Oryzias latipes: one gene and its partners. The protein of the gene in region 5 binds, or shares a complex with, the protein of the main gene of each other region. Links are inferred from orthologs where the notes say so. Each region holds a gene or a part of one and is shown on either strand. Other genes may lie near its edges.

What was found.
Region 1: taf1b (region 5) and znrd1 share a complex: the UniProt entries of both Homo sapiens proteins name them as parts of the pol I pre-initiation complex. The link is inferred for Oryzias latipes from reciprocal best matches to the Homo sapiens genes TAF1B and POLR1H.
Region 2: taf1b (region 5) and rrn3 share a complex: the UniProt entries of both Homo sapiens proteins name them as parts of the pol I pre-initiation complex. The link is inferred for Oryzias latipes from reciprocal best matches to the Homo sapiens genes TAF1B and RRN3.
Region 3: taf1b (region 5) and polr2f share a complex: the UniProt entries of both Homo sapiens proteins name them as parts of the pol I pre-initiation complex. The link is inferred for Oryzias latipes from reciprocal best matches to the Homo sapiens genes TAF1B and POLR2F.
Region 4: taf1b (region 5) and polr1b share a complex: the UniProt entries of both Homo sapiens proteins name them as parts of the pol I pre-initiation complex. The link is inferred for Oryzias latipes from reciprocal best matches to the Homo sapiens genes TAF1B and POLR1B.

Annotation. Positions count from the first base shown.
Region 1 is NC_019869.2:21,549,151-21,553,142, forward strand, and holds znrd1 (DNA-directed RNA polymerase I subunit RPA12), read left to right. Parts: upstream 1-1,417; 5' UTR 1,418-1,539; exon of another isoform or gene 1,540-1,679; 5' UTR 1,680-1,690; coding exon 1,691-1,808; intron 1,809-2,482; coding exon 2,483-2,586; intron 2,587-2,667; coding exon 2,668-2,777; intron 2,778-2,850; coding exon 2,851-2,875; 3' UTR 2,876-3,477; downstream 3,478-3,992. UniProt on the Homo sapiens protein: Core component of RNA polymerase I (Pol I), a DNA-dependent RNA polymerase which synthesizes ribosomal RNA precursors using the four ribonucleoside triphosphates as substrates. Can mediate Pol I proofreading of the nascent RNA transcript.
Region 2 is NC_019866.2:25,533,908-25,537,425, reverse strand, and holds part of rrn3 (RNA polymerase I-specific transcription initiation factor RRN3), read left to right. Parts: intron 1-358; coding exon 359-442; intron 443-530; coding exon 531-654; intron 655-2,398; coding exon 2,399-2,529; intron 2,530-3,518. UniProt on the Homo sapiens protein: Required for efficient transcription initiation by RNA polymerase I (Pol I). Required for the formation of the competent pre-initiation complex (PIC).
Region 3 is NC_019866.2:19,813,548-19,817,730, forward strand, and holds polr2f (DNA-directed RNA polymerases I, II, and III subunit RPABC2), read left to right. Parts: upstream 1-1,377; 5' UTR 1,378-1,512; coding exon 1,513-1,532; intron 1,533-1,673; coding exon 1,674-1,743; intron 1,744-1,853; coding exon 1,854-1,984; intron 1,985-3,350; coding exon 3,351-3,422; intron 3,423-3,508; coding exon 3,509-3,599; 3' UTR 3,600-3,830; downstream 3,831-4,183. UniProt on the Homo sapiens protein: DNA-dependent RNA polymerase catalyzes the transcription of DNA into RNA using the four ribonucleoside triphosphates as substrates.
Region 4 is NC_019873.2:3,647,193-3,649,610, reverse strand, and holds part of polr1b (DNA-directed RNA polymerase I subunit RPA2), read left to right. Parts: intron 1-516; coding exon 517-691; intron 692-766; coding exon 767-1,048; intron 1,049-1,129; coding exon 1,130-1,263; intron 1,264-1,330; coding exon 1,331-1,501; intron 1,502-1,601; coding exon 1,602-1,758; intron 1,759-1,851; coding exon 1,852-2,048; intron 2,049-2,418. UniProt on the Homo sapiens protein: Catalytic core component of RNA polymerase I (Pol I), a DNA-dependent RNA polymerase which synthesizes ribosomal RNA precursors using the four ribonucleoside triphosphates as substrates.
Region 5 is NC_019882.2:22,300,534-22,303,406, reverse strand, and holds part of taf1b (TATA box-binding protein-associated factor RNA polymerase I subunit B), read left to right. Parts: intron 1-202; coding exon 203-300; intron 301-373; coding exon 374-466; intron 467-714; coding exon 715-820; intron 821-1,698; coding exon 1,699-1,852; intron 1,853-1,919; coding exon 1,920-2,019; intron 2,020-2,101; coding exon 2,102-2,249; intron 2,250-2,325; coding exon 2,326-2,500; intron 2,501-2,583; coding exon 2,584-2,621; intron 2,622-2,692; coding exon 2,693-2,780; intron 2,781-2,873. UniProt on the Homo sapiens protein: Component of RNA polymerase I core factor complex that acts as a GTF2B/TFIIB-like factor and plays a key role in multiple steps during transcription initiation such as pre-initiation complex (PIC) assembly and postpolymerase recruitment events in polymerase I (Pol I) transcription.

The DNA of each region.
Region 1 (3,992 bases), on a different chromosome or scaffold from region 5:
CTGATAGATCGGCACATACCTGCTGCCAGAGAGCCTGGACAGGCGTGCAGAACCATAGTGCATGCATGTAACTGTCGGGTAGATTACTTTCACAGTGCTCACAAATGTCTGAGTTACTGAAACCCATCTTGACCATCCTCTGTCCAGTGTAGTAAATTCTGTGAAGAGTTTTGAAATGGATTAGCTGCAGATTTGGACTTTTGGTCAGTTTAAAGGTGTTTAGACAAAGTTCTGACCAGAAGCTTTAATCTGTGCTGATGCTCAAATCCGCATCCCATTTTGTTGTCGGAAGTGAAATATTATTATCTAAATTACATAAAAGTTTGTATATTTTGGAGAGAGTTTTTTTCATTGAGAAATTAATCAGAGTGGTAACTACGTCTGGTAGCTTGAAATCGTTGTCTCTGTATTTAAACTTTTTAGTAATAATTGATTTAAGTTGCTGATATTCCAAGAAGTTATTTATTCCATGTTTGTCTTGAAGTTCCTGGGGAGTTATGAATCTACTATCAATAATTATGTGCTCTAGTTGTTTTATGCCCCCTGCTTGCCAATTTATGTCGATTTAAATAGGCAAGCAGGTTGTTTTTATTTTATCAGGTTGTAATTTATTTTTAAAAACCTTGTTTAAATCTAATTTTGTCTTGAGGCTGTGGGCAAAGATATAAATACGGATTAATTGCCTTGTGTGTGAAACTGGAGGCTCAATTTTTTACAGATCGGAATTTAATTACAATTATTTGAGAGGAAACTGCAAAAAACTACATGTAGATATGCAATTGTGGCCAGAAGTACAAACAGGATTTACCAGGAAAAGCATTAATTCCTAGGAAAAATAAAGGAGGCTATTCAATTAAATTGTTGCCAGCTTGAATACTTAAATGCAAAAGCTCCCAGGTGAACTGATAATTCCTAAATTTGCTAAACATCTGAAATTATTAGAAAAACTCAATAATGAACAATGCCACAAATGCAATATTACAAGATAATACTGCTGTGAGAAATAACAAAAAAACAACTAAATATGTTGAGCAACCAAAGGAATTTGATGCAAGCTAAGTGCTTAATTTGCTAAATACATTTTAAAATTATTTTTTTTAAAATAATGGATTTAAAAAGACAGAAAAACCATCAAACATTTGCGAGAAAGGAAACAAAATGACATTTATTAATTCGATTTTTGGCTAACTGAAACATTAGAGGTGAAAATATCTGGATTAAAACACACTTATAAAGTTACAGTAGTCTAAAACCTTCATATAACTTACAACAGTAGTAAGTGATGAATTTATAAGAGTCAACTACGAATAAATAAGGTCTTTTGAGTTGTAAAACGTTGGAACATCCTTAAAATTTAGGGTCAAATGAAGGAAAACTACAATGGTGTCATTCACATTTCTGTCCACTACGAGGCGCTCGTGTTTACGTGACATTACCATCTTCTAGTTAACATGAAGAAGAAGAGCGCACAACAACACCCAATGCGGGCGAGGAGAAAGTAAATTATTGTCTGTTTTTGTGCAAACAGCCATCGATCAGGTAATTATCCTCAAATCACTCCTCCGAGAGCCCGCGCGCGCCCACCCACGTGCCTGCAAGTTAGCATGATGTGTTAGCTATCTGTCTGTCGGACTGTTGTTGTGTCACGTGCTCTGAACATAGCCGCCGCGCTTCCTCAGAACCAGAGCAAATGTCTTCAAACGGCCGCGACCCCAACTTCTGTCAGGATTGTGGCAGCGTCCTGCCGTTGCCAGGACTGTCCGACACGGTGCGCTGCCCTCGCTGCTGTCTCTGCACGCCCGTGACAGGTAAGCGGTCCACGCCGCCATGAGAGTCTGCCTGCTCTGCTGCTGGTTCATGTCCCTCAAGAACCGAATGGCTTTTAAGCACCAAGAGTACAGTCAAAACTACCGGTTTACTGAAAATGAGGCACTCAGTCTGACATTTCCCTCCATTTTTTATTTGTTTTTGATCAGCAACTACCTTTAAGTTCACATTATGTGTAAGTTCTTCCTTGATTTTTTAGTTTCTCTGATTTGACTGCCCTCCTTTCTTAATGACTAGTATGCTTTAACAAGAATGGGAAATAAAAAGCAACCACCTAAAACTGCTCAAATGAAACATTTCAGACAAATCAATTTAGCATATGATCAACATCAGTCATTGAATTTCTTCCTCAGCCGGTCTGTGGAGCAGTGATGAGACAGTAACCTCTGCTGGGCTCACTCCTCCTCCCTGGGAAGGCCTCATATTGGGGTTGGAGATCCACTGGCAGCTCATACATGTGTCCTTTACCACGTGACACTATCACAGGTCATGGGAAGGATGTTGAGGATTCAGAAGAACTCTGTTGCTGAAAGTTACTCTTAATGCTTTCATGAAATTATTTGAGCCAGTCTGCACTGACAAAAGGGTTCTCCTGATGTCTCTCTAACAGGTCTAATCTGTCCAATCCTCTAACTGTGCTGCTTTTGCTCTGCAGAGTTCTTGGGAAGAGAAATTCAGTCTGGGGTTATCTTCAACCCCGCTGAGCAGACCTTGCTGGCTCTGGAGGATGAGGAGAACTCAGAGCTGAAGGGCCCTGTGGTAAAAGCAGCCGTCCGCTCAGCAGTGGAGCGTTCGTTGTCGCGGTAACGCCTCACGGTTTGCTTCTTGCCTTGCTTGCAGATTGACCGACGCTGCACTCGCTGCAATAAGGAAGGCATGATCTACCACACTAGGCAGATGAGATCTGCAGATGAAGGACAGACGGTCTTCTTCACCTGCATCCACTGCAGGTAGGTGGCGTCAGCGTGACCCTCCTGTCCTGCTGTACGGTTCTGGAGCTGACCGGTCTTTGTCTTGTTTCAGGTTCCAGGAAAAGGAGGACTCCTGAGAAAAGCTTTTGCTTACTATCTGATCACAATCACCTCAACTCTGGTTCTGTTTTGATCCAGGGAGCTGCTTTTTTGTAGTGATGAGCTGTTTCTGTTTGTTAAACTGAACTTGTGCATGTTCTGGTGCACGTGTTGGTCCTCTCCACCTTTGTCACACATGACACTGGTCAGTTCATCGGGACTCTACAAGAAAAAAAACAGGAATCGATGTCTCAGATTTAAACTGCAGCCACGGAGGCTCAGGACAATCAGGTATACATTTTACACAAGTCAACTAAAGTGAAGGAGCAGGACAGCAACTCAGCAAACTAACCAGAAACAATAAAACTGTATCAGCTGTTTATATTTATTTTTCCTGAAGCATACCCTGATTCTCAACTGGACAGCTGTTAGTACTTGCGCGCATTTTCTCAGAAAATGATCTCTTTATAGTTTGATTAATTTCTTTAAAACTCTTGTCAAAGACCAGAAAACTGTCATCCTATGTTTTTATAAAGTATTCTACCAAATTTGAACTGTTGTATCCAGTAAGGCTTCAACTTACATCTCACATGGCTGTTAAATTGTTCTTTAAATGATAAAGAACGCTCTTGGTATCTGACATGTTCTTTTTGTTGATTTATTGAAGCAGAATGGTAAACGGCGTATACTTATTTAGCCCCTTAACTATCTTCTTGGAGCATTTTACAGTCACAGTTCCATTCACCCATGAACACACACACTGATTGTGGCTCAGCTACCAAACCATGTTGCCAACCTATAACCCCCAGAAGCAAGGTGGGGTTCAGTGTCTTAACCTTGGACACATGGGCGGGTAGGGTGGGAATTAAACCTGCAACCTCTTGATCAGGGGTTGACCGCTCTACTTCTGCACCACAACTGCCCTGTTAAGTTGCCAGCAGCATTTAGAAAAAAACAGTTCAACCTCCTTGGTCTAGTTTGGTCCTCCTGGGCCTCAGTAGCTCTCCATCATACCTATACCCCCCCCCCCCCCCCAATCTCTCTCTAAAGCCTTTTTAATAACTGCCCCCCTCATCTATTATCCACAGGAGATGCACAAGCAGGCAAGCTATTTGGCATAAAAGTAAACTCTTACAAAAACTCTTCATCTGCAGT
Region 2 (3,518 bases), on a different chromosome or scaffold from region 5:
GTGAGCTTGTTGGAAGACCACACCCCTTCCATCGAAAGCAGGCTCAGGAGAATCTGTCAAATGTGAGACCACATGCTTTTCCTGAGGCGTCTGATTGGTCAGTTAATAAATGAAATAACTAGAACTTCACACAAAATATGATGAAAAAACAGAGGATTGTCTAGGAGATGTTGAGAATCAGATCAGGAACGGTTCTTCTGATCAACAGAATGACTGAGGAACAGCTGTTTCTATAGGAGTCCATGGCATTTCAGCTTCTTGGAGCCACTCCCTTTTTGGAACGCCAGGGGGGAGGAGTCACTGTCCAGTTCTCATATAGACTCAATAGTTCTAATTAACCTTAACAACTGTGTTGCAGGTGAGTGTCTCCCGTGCAGACCTGGAGGGAGCAGAGGAGGGCGTTCAGGAGCAGAGCACAGACCAGGAGACGCTCTTCGACATGGTAACGCTGTGAACCGTTTGACATTAGACGGATCTCTGGTCAGGATGTTCTCCACATCTTTGCTTCAACAAAAACTCCTTCCCATCAGGATGAAGACGTCCCGGCGGAACAAACACCGGCGATGAAGGTGACGGTCCACCCGGTAGGAGAGAGGCTGGACGCCCTGATGACCGTACTGATGGCCTACATCAAAGACGTCTGCCACGTTAACGGTAGGCAGATCACATCTAGAAAGGATGCTGCTCTAGCTAAAGACTTTTACTTCAGAGGTGTAAAGGAGTAAAGTGGAAGGAAGAAATCCTTCAGAGGAACAGATCATGGTGGAGGTTCTGGAGATCAGTGCAGGGAAGACGTTTGGACAGGGGAAGAGCCTAGAGGAAGACCACAGGACATTTGTGAAGGCTGTTAAGGAGGATGGATGTGTGAGTGAAGAAGAGGAGAAGACTAGATGGAGGCAGAGGATTCATGTGGGAACATCAGCGGCATCAACCCTATTCCCCCTGAGCTGCTGCTCTGCCTGCTTGTTCTCTTCACCGTTGGCCTTAGACAAAGTAATGCCTTACTCACAACGGTCCTTATGGAATACAGCTCCTAAACCCCCCCAGAGGGAAACTGGGACAGACCGAGGGTTTATCATTTCTCCCCCCAGGGCCGTTCCTGATGATTAGTGGTCTATAAGGCTGATCACTGATGTTCATTTGAAACCTCCAGAGAGGAACAGGTTCAGCAGGACTTTCGTGAGGGTTTTTCAACCAAAGTTTTCATATCAATTAACATCATTTAAACGACTGATCTCTGTGAAAAGTTGAAACAAAAGTGAAGGGACATCCTCAGCACTGAAGCGTGTCTCATAAGGTCAAACTAAGATGGAAATACGTTTTATTAAGCCGAAGGTCAAAATAGTTTGGGGAGAATGTGACTGTTAATCGTCAGTAGGCCTAGCTAACAGCTACATGTTCCACCAGAATAAGAAACGGCTCCATTTGACCTCCAGCAAACACAAAGGAGAAACAACTGAGCTGTTTCCCTGAGAGGTCAGACACACAACAGACACACAACAGGAGGAAACAGTCACACTGATCAATGATAGATCGGCCTGCTGCTTCACGTCCTCTGTTCACGGTTCACCGATGACTGGTTGACGTCTTCAAGTCGGCGCTCCTTACCACATCCTGGCTGTTGGAAATGAGGAAATTAGACGGTGTACTTTGTGTGAACATCCGACGGACGGGCACTTGTGTATCACGTGCACGCCAGTGTGTGCAGCATTTGCATTCGGTGAGCCAGAACTCTGACCTTTCAGACGACTAGAGTGTGGTGTAAGGACACTGTACCACAGCATCACCCGTGTGTTCCAAGTTTCCATTAGCCGTAGATGTTCTCTATGATACACGTAGCACACATACAACACTGAGGTGACCGTGCACGCCTCAAGGGGAGTGTAGGACACTCCTGCACTGGTTCCTCTCAATGACCCTCCATGGACCCAGACAACCCAAAAACCTGCAGCGCCCGTTCGGATCAACCCCCCCCCCCCCGTACACGTGCATGTGACCAAAGCTTAAAGCTGCTATCAGTTTGGATGCTTCAGCAAATCAAATCAAATCAAACTTTATAAAAGGGTGCTTCTCATGCCTCAGTGCTTTACATTTAAAAACAAACACAATATTACATAAAAAGACAACCCACTCCCCTCCATGAACACACATGACCCCTCACACAAAGAACACTTATAAATGTCACTTCTGAGAGAAACGTCTCGACTCTGCAGCAGATATCCACAGTGCAGTGTAGTCCTTCATCCACTGCCGTTAGACTCAGCCACCTGCATCAAATGTTAACGCAGTACGTTTCTTTGTGTCTCATTGCTGGACTTGTGTAACGGTGTTTGTGCTAGAATGTGTTGGTCCAGCCACAGAAACGTGTGCATCCACACCGTGCCTGTCGTCTGTGCAGGCTCTTTCCATGCTGAGCGGTCCAAGGAGCTGTTCCGAGATCTCCTGAGCATCTTTGACAAGCTCATCCTGCCCACACATGCTTCCTCACATGTGCAGTTCACCCTCTTCTACCTCTGCAGCTTCAGACTGGTCAGTTGTTCTCACACTGGATAAAAAACACGGTTCAAAAAACTAACCAGCCAGTCGATTTTCACGCAGTGCCTAAGGTAATTGATTCTATTTAATGATGTAGGAGTATGAGGGATGATCAATAGTTTTTTCATTTTACAAGACCCCTCCCATATCTTAACCAACCCCCCTCATCCCAGGTAGGGATGCTGCATTTAAGGCTTCAGATTGAGTCTTTGGTCTCAAACTTACGGATCACTGATGTGATTCTCCAAACATTCTGAGCATTTGTCTTAGTTTTATTGTATTATGTGGGGGGTGGGGGGCAGACGCAGAGGGACAGCAGCTGATACCTAATTGGAATGTCCCAAGTGTGTTTTGTGCCTTACCTGCCCAAGTGTCAAAGTGTCCTTGAGTTAAACACTGAACTCCCAGTTGGTGCCAGTGTCTGGCAGCAGAACCACTGTGCACGTGTGTTTGTGTGCGTGCATGTGTGTGTATGTGTGTGTGTGAGTTTGTACGTGTGTGGTCGTGTGTGTACATGTGTGGTTGTGTGCGTGCTTGTTTGTGTGTGTGTGTGTGTGTAGGTGTGTGCCTGTGTGTGTGTTCGTGCGTGTTTGTTTGTTTGCGTGTGTTTGTGTGTGCGTGTTTGTACGTGTGTGTACAGGTGCATGTGTAGGTGTGTGCGTGCGTGTGTGGGTGTGTGCCTGTGTGTGTGTTCGTGCGTGTTTGTGTGTGTGTTTGTGGGCGTGTGTTTGTGTGTGCGTGTCTGTACGTGTGTGTATAGGTGCGTGTGTGCAGGTGTGTGTGTACATGTGTGGGTGTGTGCGTGCTTGTTTGTGTGTGTGTGTGTGTAGGTGTGTGCCTGTGTGTGTGTTCGTGCGTGTTTGTGTGTGTGTTTGTGTGTGCGTGTTTGTACGTGTGTGTACAGGTGCATATGTACGTGTGTGTGTGCGTGTGTGGGTGTGTTCGTGCGTGTTTGTGTGTGTTTGTGTGTTTGTACGTGTGTG
Region 3 (4,183 bases), on a different chromosome or scaffold from region 5:
ATTCCTACTGATGTTATTTTTTTACCACTTTTTTAAAACCCTGTTTTAAGAAAAATATTTTTCCAAACCTGCATCACTAGAAAATGCTTAAAGTTGTTGTCCTACAGATTTCTTCTGAGACAAAATCAGCCATGCAGATTCCTGCACTATCTTTTGCTATATTTACTTTTTAGTTTTTTTTAGTAATTTGGTTAAAGGGGTTCATCAGAAAATGTATAGAAAACTGTGAAAGAGAGCAATTTTACAAGTGACATTTTTTTAAAAGGTTGTGACAAGAATCTCCTGTCAAATGTTCACTTTTATTGTAAATTATTGCAACTTGTTGTTTACTAAATTAACAAAGAATCAATTGCATATTTCATAGTTGGGCTATATTTGAAAAAAAAAAGTTTATGTGTAACCAACAAACAGGATTAATTTTGTTGTTAAAAACGTGAACATTTCTTCCTTTTTGTGTTTAGAAATTCTTACCCATCCACTGCTATATTTATAAAATAGGTAATGAAGAATTGTTTTAAAAGAAATCTCTTTTGTATAGACACATTTTATTAAATAAGTGAAGAATCTAAATGGATCTGTTCTTTGACAAAGTGCCAGCTGTTTGAGCTTAACCCTAGCAAAAAGTTGACGCTTTTATTTTTTTAAGTTTGCTTGAATATAAGTATAAAGCAAGTACGCTGTACTAAAGACCATGTTCATGTAGTGTAGAGATGAAGTATACTAACAGAATATTTCTTGAGACTGGAAATTGGAAATTTTAAGTTTACAATATCTAGATTTTATCTTGACATTATATTTTAAAAAAATAAACGTCAAGTATACTGCCTCACATTTATAAGTATACTTGTAGTACACTTAAATAGACTACTTCTTGCAATGAGTATTCTTACATAAGACAGGAAAGCACTTGCAAAAACATTTTTATGTTGTTTATTGTGAATATCTTTTCATTTGATCACGTAGGAAAATATATTAGATGAAGAGTAAAAAAAACAGAATCCAGCCTTAGCTCTGAATGTTTTTTCGCATTCGGTTGACCCAATTCTGTTCTTTAACTTTGCACTAAGTGACATGCCATTGTTACTCGTTTTCTATAAATGCAGGGCAAAAAATTAAGAATTATTAGTATTCATTTTCTCTCAAGGGTACATTAAAATAAATGTTGAAAACTATCATTTTGGTGTCTTCTTTTTCTCTAAAGGTACAGCCTTGGTTTTCCATAGTTTGATGGATTTATATTTATTTCTAGTTGAAGTTTATTTTGTTTAGGATACTTGACTATAATAGAAAGTAAGCTTTTTATATACTATTTGTTTGCTTGTTTTTAAATTGAATTAGAAAAAGGTAGGACAAAAAAAGAAATTCTAGTTGAGAAGCCGGACATAATTTTTCAGCGTACACGCGCACCGGAAGTTTAGAGACCACAACGCTCAATGTGGTTTAGCCTCTAAATTAAATTTGCTGCTAATAAACTCTATTAGTATCTATATTGGAAAAAATATAAGTTAAAACATGTCTGATAACGAAGACAAGTAAGTTGTGATCTATGTTCATCAAATAATGTCATGGTATATGTTAATTTTAAATCTATTTTAGCGTGTAGCCTGTTAGCTAAGCTAGGTTACGACTTCACCGTTTTCGGTCTTTGATACAGTTTTTGTCAACATTTGCAGCTTTGATGATGGAGACTTTGAGGACGCCGATGAGGACGAAGGATTAGACGATCTGGAAAACGTGGAAGATGTATGTTCGTCTGCACTTTTTTCATTTAGTGGATCATATTTGGGGTTCATTATTCATGATTTCTATCTGGCAGTCTAATCAGATGCTTGTTTTCCTTGGATGATCATCAGGAGGACCAGGAGAACGTACAGATCCTCCCCGCAGGAGAGGGGCAGCAGGCTAACCAGAAAAGGATTACAACACCGCACATGACCAAATATGAGAGAGCGAGAGTGCTGGGAACACGAGCCCTCCAAATAGCGTGAGTTGTTTACTGTAAAATAAGCGCTTTACTCTTCTAAACCAATAAGTTAGGCTTCCAAACATTTGTGGCTTTGTTGTTCTTCTTATTTTATTTTGCTAATTTGTCGTGTGGAGCAGCTGATCAAACAGATGAGAGCTGAAGGCCCCTGGTGTTGGACAGATTGTAATGTTACCATAGGAGTTTTGAAGCTTTGGGCAGAGGAGGTTTATGTCACTACAAACCTTTTTGTATTGAGGCTTAACTTTATTTTATTAATATTTGTGCTTATTGAACTATGCTGCATGTACCCCATCTTTGCCCCAAAACAGCTAGGATAGGCTCCTTCAGACCCTGATCTACAATAGGCCGGTTTTAGAAAAATGATGGACTTGTGTCCATTCCTTTTTGGACCGGAGAAAACGGAGAAGGATAGTGGGATATTAGGGATGGGGGGGACAAGATAGAAAAGGACATATAGAAGTTGGAGAGTCACCAAAGAAACACACCATTGCAAACAAAAAGAGACAAAACGTTGCTAGAGGTTATTTATAACTTTCACAATTAGATGTTTATGTTTATCGCACACACTGAATATTATAAACATTCCTGTTGCCCTCAAAAACCTTCACTCTTGCATATTGTCATGTACACAACACAGATAGAGATCAGATAAATATGCACCTTCATTTGCATAAAAGCAGATACAATCTCATACAAAAGTCCTTTTCTGAGCCAAGGTGAGTGGGCATTGGTGCTTAGTTTTTTTGTCTGTGTTCTACTGTGGACAATGATGGTATGAAGCGTAATGAATAAAAAAAAGGGGGGGAGCACCTGGTCGTCCCACACCAAGCCCCCCAGAATGAGGTGAGGCAGTAGCGGCAGCCAGGACCACCACAGCCAGGAGGGAATCCACCACCCCAGTGACCCGATACCAGCCATCCATACCAGAGGAGGGACTGCCGAAATAGTCCCCAGCACCAAAGAGCAAGGAGTCACAGGAGCATGGAGAATGCACGCCCTGGCCCAGCTAGAGAAAAGCCCCCCAGCTGTGCTATGGGCCCATCACGAGGTCCCAACTGGTTGCTGCAGATCACGTGTTTCAGGGACAAACAAAAAAATCTTTGCATCTCATTTTGTCAAAATGACACTGAATTACATTTCTCAGTTTTGCAGCTTTGAAGGCAGGTTCTGGGTTTGAACCTGGTTGTTGACATCTCTGTGTTTTTGTGTTTGGGCCGTTTAAGGACACACTGGTTTGAAAAGTGTGTGTGTGAATGAACAGTCCATGAATCCTCTGCCCCGCCTGTTTTCTGGCTTTAAAATAATGACATTTTACTTCAATTTGGGATTTATTTTGAGGATTTTGTCGTTGTTCTGCCGACAGCATGTGCGCTCCTGTGATGGTCGAGTTGGAGGGAGAAACAGACCCCTTGCAGATCGCCATGAAGGAACTAAAGTACATCAGATTATTCCATTTCTGTCTAAATTCTTTCATCTTGTTTTGTTCCTGGTAACTCAATGTTTGCCGTTTGTTCTGAACAGGAGCAGAAAGATCCCCATCATCATCCGCAGGTACCTCCCCGACGGCAGCTACGAGGACTGGGGCTGTGATGAGCTCATCATTACCGACTAAACAAACCTGGACTTTCAGCTGAACTTCAGAGCTTCGATGATACCAAACAGAAGCAGCAAATGCAGTCATTTTAAAACCTGCTTTGCAAGCATGAGCCAGTAGGGGGAGACATAACTTTGTTTAAACACATTTTTTTAACAAACTGAACTTTTGTTGTAAGTATTCCAAGTGTTGATTTTGATCAGAGATCATCTGTTTTATTGTTATAAATAAAGTCTTTTTTTATGATAATTTCACGGTTTCTGACTGTTATTATTAAAGTTTTAATGTCAGCATGAGTCATAGTCAGGGAAAAAATGGTCAGTTTTGGTCATTTAAAAAAAGAACCAAATCAGTTGATTAAACTTCAAGAATCATGTGGTGTTTGATTGATGCAGCTTTGATGTCAGCGGGTCTTTATTTTCCTTGAGGCTACAGCCCTTGTGGATTTGGTGAAGCCGTCAGAAAACAGACGGAGGCTCTCTCTGAGTTTATCCACGGAACCATGTGAATGAAGCAGCTCAACAGGTCGGCATTGTTCAAAGGGAGTGTTTGCCCTGGCAGAGAGACGCGCGGCGCTGGAGGAAAAACCAGTGCTCAGGGGA
Region 4 (2,418 bases), on a different chromosome or scaffold from region 5:
TTCAATGTGGAACCACCCACTCTTATTAAGTCATGTGATTGGTCAGTTTATAACTTGAAAAAGTTGCGCTACAACAAAAATATGGGAAAAAAATAGGATTGTCAAGAAAATGTTTTAAAAAAAATTTTACAGACAAAGAAGGATTATTTGGACCAACAGAATGACTGAGTAACAGCTTTTCATTTTAGATTCTTGGAGTCAGAAGCTACTTCCTGTTTGGAACGCCAGGGGGAGGGGCCACTCAGTCTAGTTCTCTAATTGGCTACAGACCTTGTCAATGAATCTCCTCTGTGTTGTGTCTTCTGGACAGAAAGTGTTCAGTTTTGCCAAATTTTCATAAATATTTAATCGCGATCAGATCTTTGTTTTTATTCTGAAATCCTGGTCTCTCTTTTTTTCTATTTTTAGAGCGTATCCCCCCGGGATACATGAGGGAAGGCTGTACTGTAAATGTTATGACCTTGACTTTTAAATCTTAAAGTTCTAGTTTCATGTTCCTCGTCTTTAACACTGCAGGAGAGAATGACTGCATGGCTGGTGTCTGTGAAGCTGTCCTTTGACAAAAGAGGATCCAAAGTGTTTGCAAGGGGATGGAGCACAGAAAATGTCATAAAGATGCTGAACATGGGCTCTGATGTCACCAAACCTTTTGAATATCTCTTGGCTACTGGAAACCTAAATTCTAAGACGGGTGCATATCCACACTCTTTATATATATATTTTTAAACTTCAATAGTTGCTTTGTTCTAAATGTTTTCTTTCACAGGTCTCGGCATGCTGCAGAACTCGGGCCTCTGCGTTGTCGCTGACAAGCTGAACTTCATCCGCTACCTTTCTCACTTCCGCTGTGTGCACAGAGGAGCAGCGTTCGCCAAGATGAGGACCACCTCAGTCCGTAAGCTGCTGCCCGAGTCCTGGGGCTTCCTGTGTCCCGTCCACACTCCAGACGGAGAGCCTTGTGGACTCATGAACCACATGACTGCCAGCTGTGAGGTGGTGGCAGCATCCAGTCCCACCACGTCGCTGCCTGCACTGCTCTGTTCCCTCGGTAAGCTCCAAACATTTTTACAAAGTGCACATTGCTCCTCAGCGGCTGAAAATGGAAATGGTCCTGTTTTCGGTGTGTGAGGTGTTACTCCGGTGGATGGTACTCCTGCTCAGGCCTTCTCTGACTGCTACCCTGTGGTGTTGGATGGCTCTGTTGTTGGCTGGGTGGAGACCGACTTGGCTCCAGCTGTTGTTGATGCAATGCGGAGGTTCAAGGTACGAGAAGGATGTTAGACAAGTAGTGACCTTGGAAGCAGAAACCTGATGACTAACGTGTGTGCAGGTGCTGAGGGAGAGGAAGGTTCCTCCCTGGACTGAGATCGTCCTGGTTCCTAAAACTGGAAAAGCCAGCTTGTATCCAGGTCTGTTCCTCTTCACAACACCTTGCCGGATGATGCGGCCCGTTCAAAACCTGGCTCTTGGCAAACAGGAGTTCATTGGCACCTTTGAGCAGGTATATGTTTAGCTGGTGCACGTTGAAAGACATTCTTGCCATCGAGACGGTCATCGGAGGACAGCTGTCCAAGTAAAACGGGTTTACTTTTCTGCCGTAGCTTTACACCAATGTTGGAATTTTAGAAGAGGAGATTGAAGCAGGAGTTACCACACACCAGGAGCTCTTCCCTCACAGTATGCTGAGCGTGGTGGCAAACTTCATCCCTTTCTCAGACCACAACCAGAGTCCTAGAAACATGTACCAGTGTCAGATGGGTAAGTGGGTGGGATCAGAAATGTTCATTGAAGGCTAACACCAATTTGGAGTCCAAAGTCCTGAAATTGTTGACCCTAAACTGTTTGTTTCAGGTAAACAAACGATGGGCTTCCCTCTACACTCGTTTATGGATCGCTCGGACAATAAGCTGTACCGACTACAGACGCCACAGAGCGCCCTCGTCAGGCCCTACATGTACGATCACTACAATCTGGACAACTATCCAAGCGGCACAAACGCCATCGTCGCCGTCATATCCTACACCGGCTACGACATGGAAGATGCTATGGTGAATTCAACACAATAGTTTTTACATTTCTACAGATGGGATTTGATCATCTTTTGAGCTATTTTCAAAGCATTCCCAGTAGGGATGCTACTCCATTCTGATCATCCTCTTACAGATAGATCCATGAACGTCTTTATTTTCCTCGTCTGAGCTGGAATCTGGCTCTAAACTGTACGGCTGGATAGCTCTGATATTGGTCGACATTTTTGTTTCTCTGATAATGTTAGTTAGGGGTTGTGACGGGAATTGGTTTGCCTGAGATGGTGTAAACAAAGGCATGATGGGAAATGGAGGAAGGGTCACTCTATGCCAGCGGTCCCGCCCACAACTTCAGGGTGAATTTCTGATGAACTCCTGCTGGTCTTTGGTT
Region 5 (2,873 bases):
TTGTCTTCCTCCAGCATCCTCTGATCTTCAGGCTCCTCCATGAATCCTTGTTGCTTCTAAACTCTGGAACTCTCATTCAGACATTTGCTTCGTTTCCAGTTTTAGATCTTTGAAAATGCTTTTGGGTTCCTCTCAGTTTGATGGCAGTGCCCATCTGAAACGTTTGTGTTTCTTTGTCTCACACGTGTTCTGTGTCGTTCAGGTGGCCGTCACACATGGATGGTCTGTGAAGGTTTCCAGTTCATCCTGATGAACCAGGCGGATGCCCTGCTTAGGCTGGGAGTCCATCCTCACTTCAAGGTCTGAATCTGTCCGTATTGATCTGCCATCGATGCCTGAGCCCGTCTGATCAGTGTGTGGCTCGCCGCTTTAGGACGGCGTGCTGCGTCAGCTGTGGAGGCTCTACTTGCAGAAGAGCCGGCAGGCTTACTGCGTCAACCGAGTTAGGAGCGCCAAGTTCAGAGTGGTCAGTTTCAGTCTGTGACTCACCTTCCTTTGAAAATCTGTGCTGAGATAATCATATACATGATTTCAATGAGTACTAACACGGATGTTTATTTATTCATATGCTCTCCATGCTTTTTCATAACTGGAGGGATATCAGTTTAGTCTGAATTTTTAGATCCACTCAAATGCAGGAACAAACATAAATGTCTTCAGAGGAAGAGTGATGATGACTGCAGCAGCCTTCTGTTCTGTCCCCCCCCCCCCCAGGGAGACGCAGACTCGGATTCAGACAGCGCAGCCGAGGCGTCTGTGGCATCAGCCAGCGGGACGGATGGAGAGTCAAATCCCTGCAGCAGCCCCAGCTCTAAAGGAGGTATGTTTGACTCCCCCAGCAGGAGCAGCTGGGGTCAGCCATGAAGTCTTTGGTCACTGGACTATGGAGACGCCAGACCTCAGATCTCTGCCGTCTGGGGGACTACAGGGGGGTCTGACTTTGAAATGAGTGAATTATTATTATTATCTAATTATTGAATTAGACTACTGACAGAAAGTTGGAGATATTACTAATAACTAAAAATTAATGAGAAAAAAACATTTTCATTAGGTTAATATTACCCCTAAAATGAGGACAATAATAAAAATAGCCCCAAATAACAGAAATGTCAATAGTGGGTATTTGCAGCATTTGCATCAACAGCAGCTTGACAGTGACGTCTCCTCACCAACCTCATGGTGTTGGTCTGAACCAATCTTCCATAAGTGCTGCATGTAGTTCTGCAGCTCACTTGGGGGTGGGATACCATCATCCAGTCTGCTTCAGCTGGTCCCAGACGTTCTCTATGGGTTTCAGGTCAAGGGTCATTGCTGGTCATACCACATGAGCTACTCCCACTTCCTGAAGTCCTGCTGTGACAGTACTGGTACCATGTGATAGGGTGTAATCATCCATGAACAGAAAGCTGGGGGTGTTCTGGTGGAATTGGGGGATGAGAATGGTTCTATGATGTCTCTGAGGTTAGAACATTCAGTGACTGGGTCATTTACAATAACCAAATCAGTTTGACCCTGACTGGTGATACCTGTCCAGACTGTTACACCTCCTTCCCCAAAGCCAACCCTGAGGACCTTTGACCTCGGCGTATCGCTCACCACGTCTCTGTGTATATCACATCCACTGAGTTTGTTGTTTTTTTCACAATATCCATGACGTATTGTGAGTATTGTATGTTGAAATGTAGCCTAATCCCTCAGGCAGTGACTGGTCTGGATCAGCGGACAGCCTCTGTTACCTGACTCCCCGTCAGAGGCGGAGCCATAGACTCCTGAGCCTGAAGAAGACTCTGGCCCTGATCCACTTGGCCTTGGTCTGGAGCCGGGAGGCGCTGACTCTCAGCGACCTGCTTGGGTAATCTGCTCCTCCAAACCAGGCGTTGGACTGCTGGATGTTGGGCTGATCCTGTGTTTGCTCTCAGACTGGTGAACTGTGGAAGCGTCCCGTATGTGAAGGCCCATGAGCAGCTCCCAGAGCAGATGAAGCTGTTCGGCAAAGATGCTCTTCTGTTTACTGCAGAGGTAACGACCTGGAGTGAGTGAGCTGCTGACCTCTGCCCTGTGTTCTCCTGTTTGTTGACGATGTGGTGAACTGTCTCTGCAGACGGTACCGTCTCACCGCTCGCTGCATAAGGAGGCTCAGGATCTGCTTCTGTTCCTGCAACTTCCAGCGTTTCCTCCCATCAGCCAGCAGACTCTGCTCCACCCGGGGCCACTGAGCCTGCGCTACCTGATCGATGCAAACCTGCCCGGTAACAGCTTCCTCCGTCCCAGCTGACAGACAGACATGCATGCTGCGCGGGCTGAGCGGCTCCTTCCTGTCTGCAGGTGAGCTGCACAGGTGGGTCTGCAGAGTGGCGGAGCTCGCAGGTTTGTTCCATGAAAGCCGCCAGACGTTCCACCCCGAGTCCCAGCCCACCCTGCCCCGGTACGACCTGCAGGCGGCAGCGCTCATTATCGTCACCATGAAGCTCCTCTTTGGCCTGGACGACCACACCGAATGGTAACCCCCCCTGCCCTGCCCTCCCCACCCCCCTACATCCATTCCACAGACAGGTCGTCTCACTGCGGTTCTCCTGGTTTCAGGGAGCTGTCCAACAACGCCAGGTCCACAGACGGAGAGGGTCCGTGAGTGCCCCCTGTGTGTGAGTCCTCTTGGTGGGGGCTCTTCAAGCTCATGCTTTCTCTCTGACAGGGGCCCAGTTTAACCTGCGAAGGTGGTACAAACTGATGCAGACCGCTCTGAACCGAGCTCAGCAGAGGAGGGACCAGGACACAGCCAGGTGAGGTTGTTCCTCGGTTCCAGTTTGTCGGACTCCTGCAGATCCTTCAGGTCACTTCTGGCAATATTTTTAAATCTGACTTTTGGGCGCTTT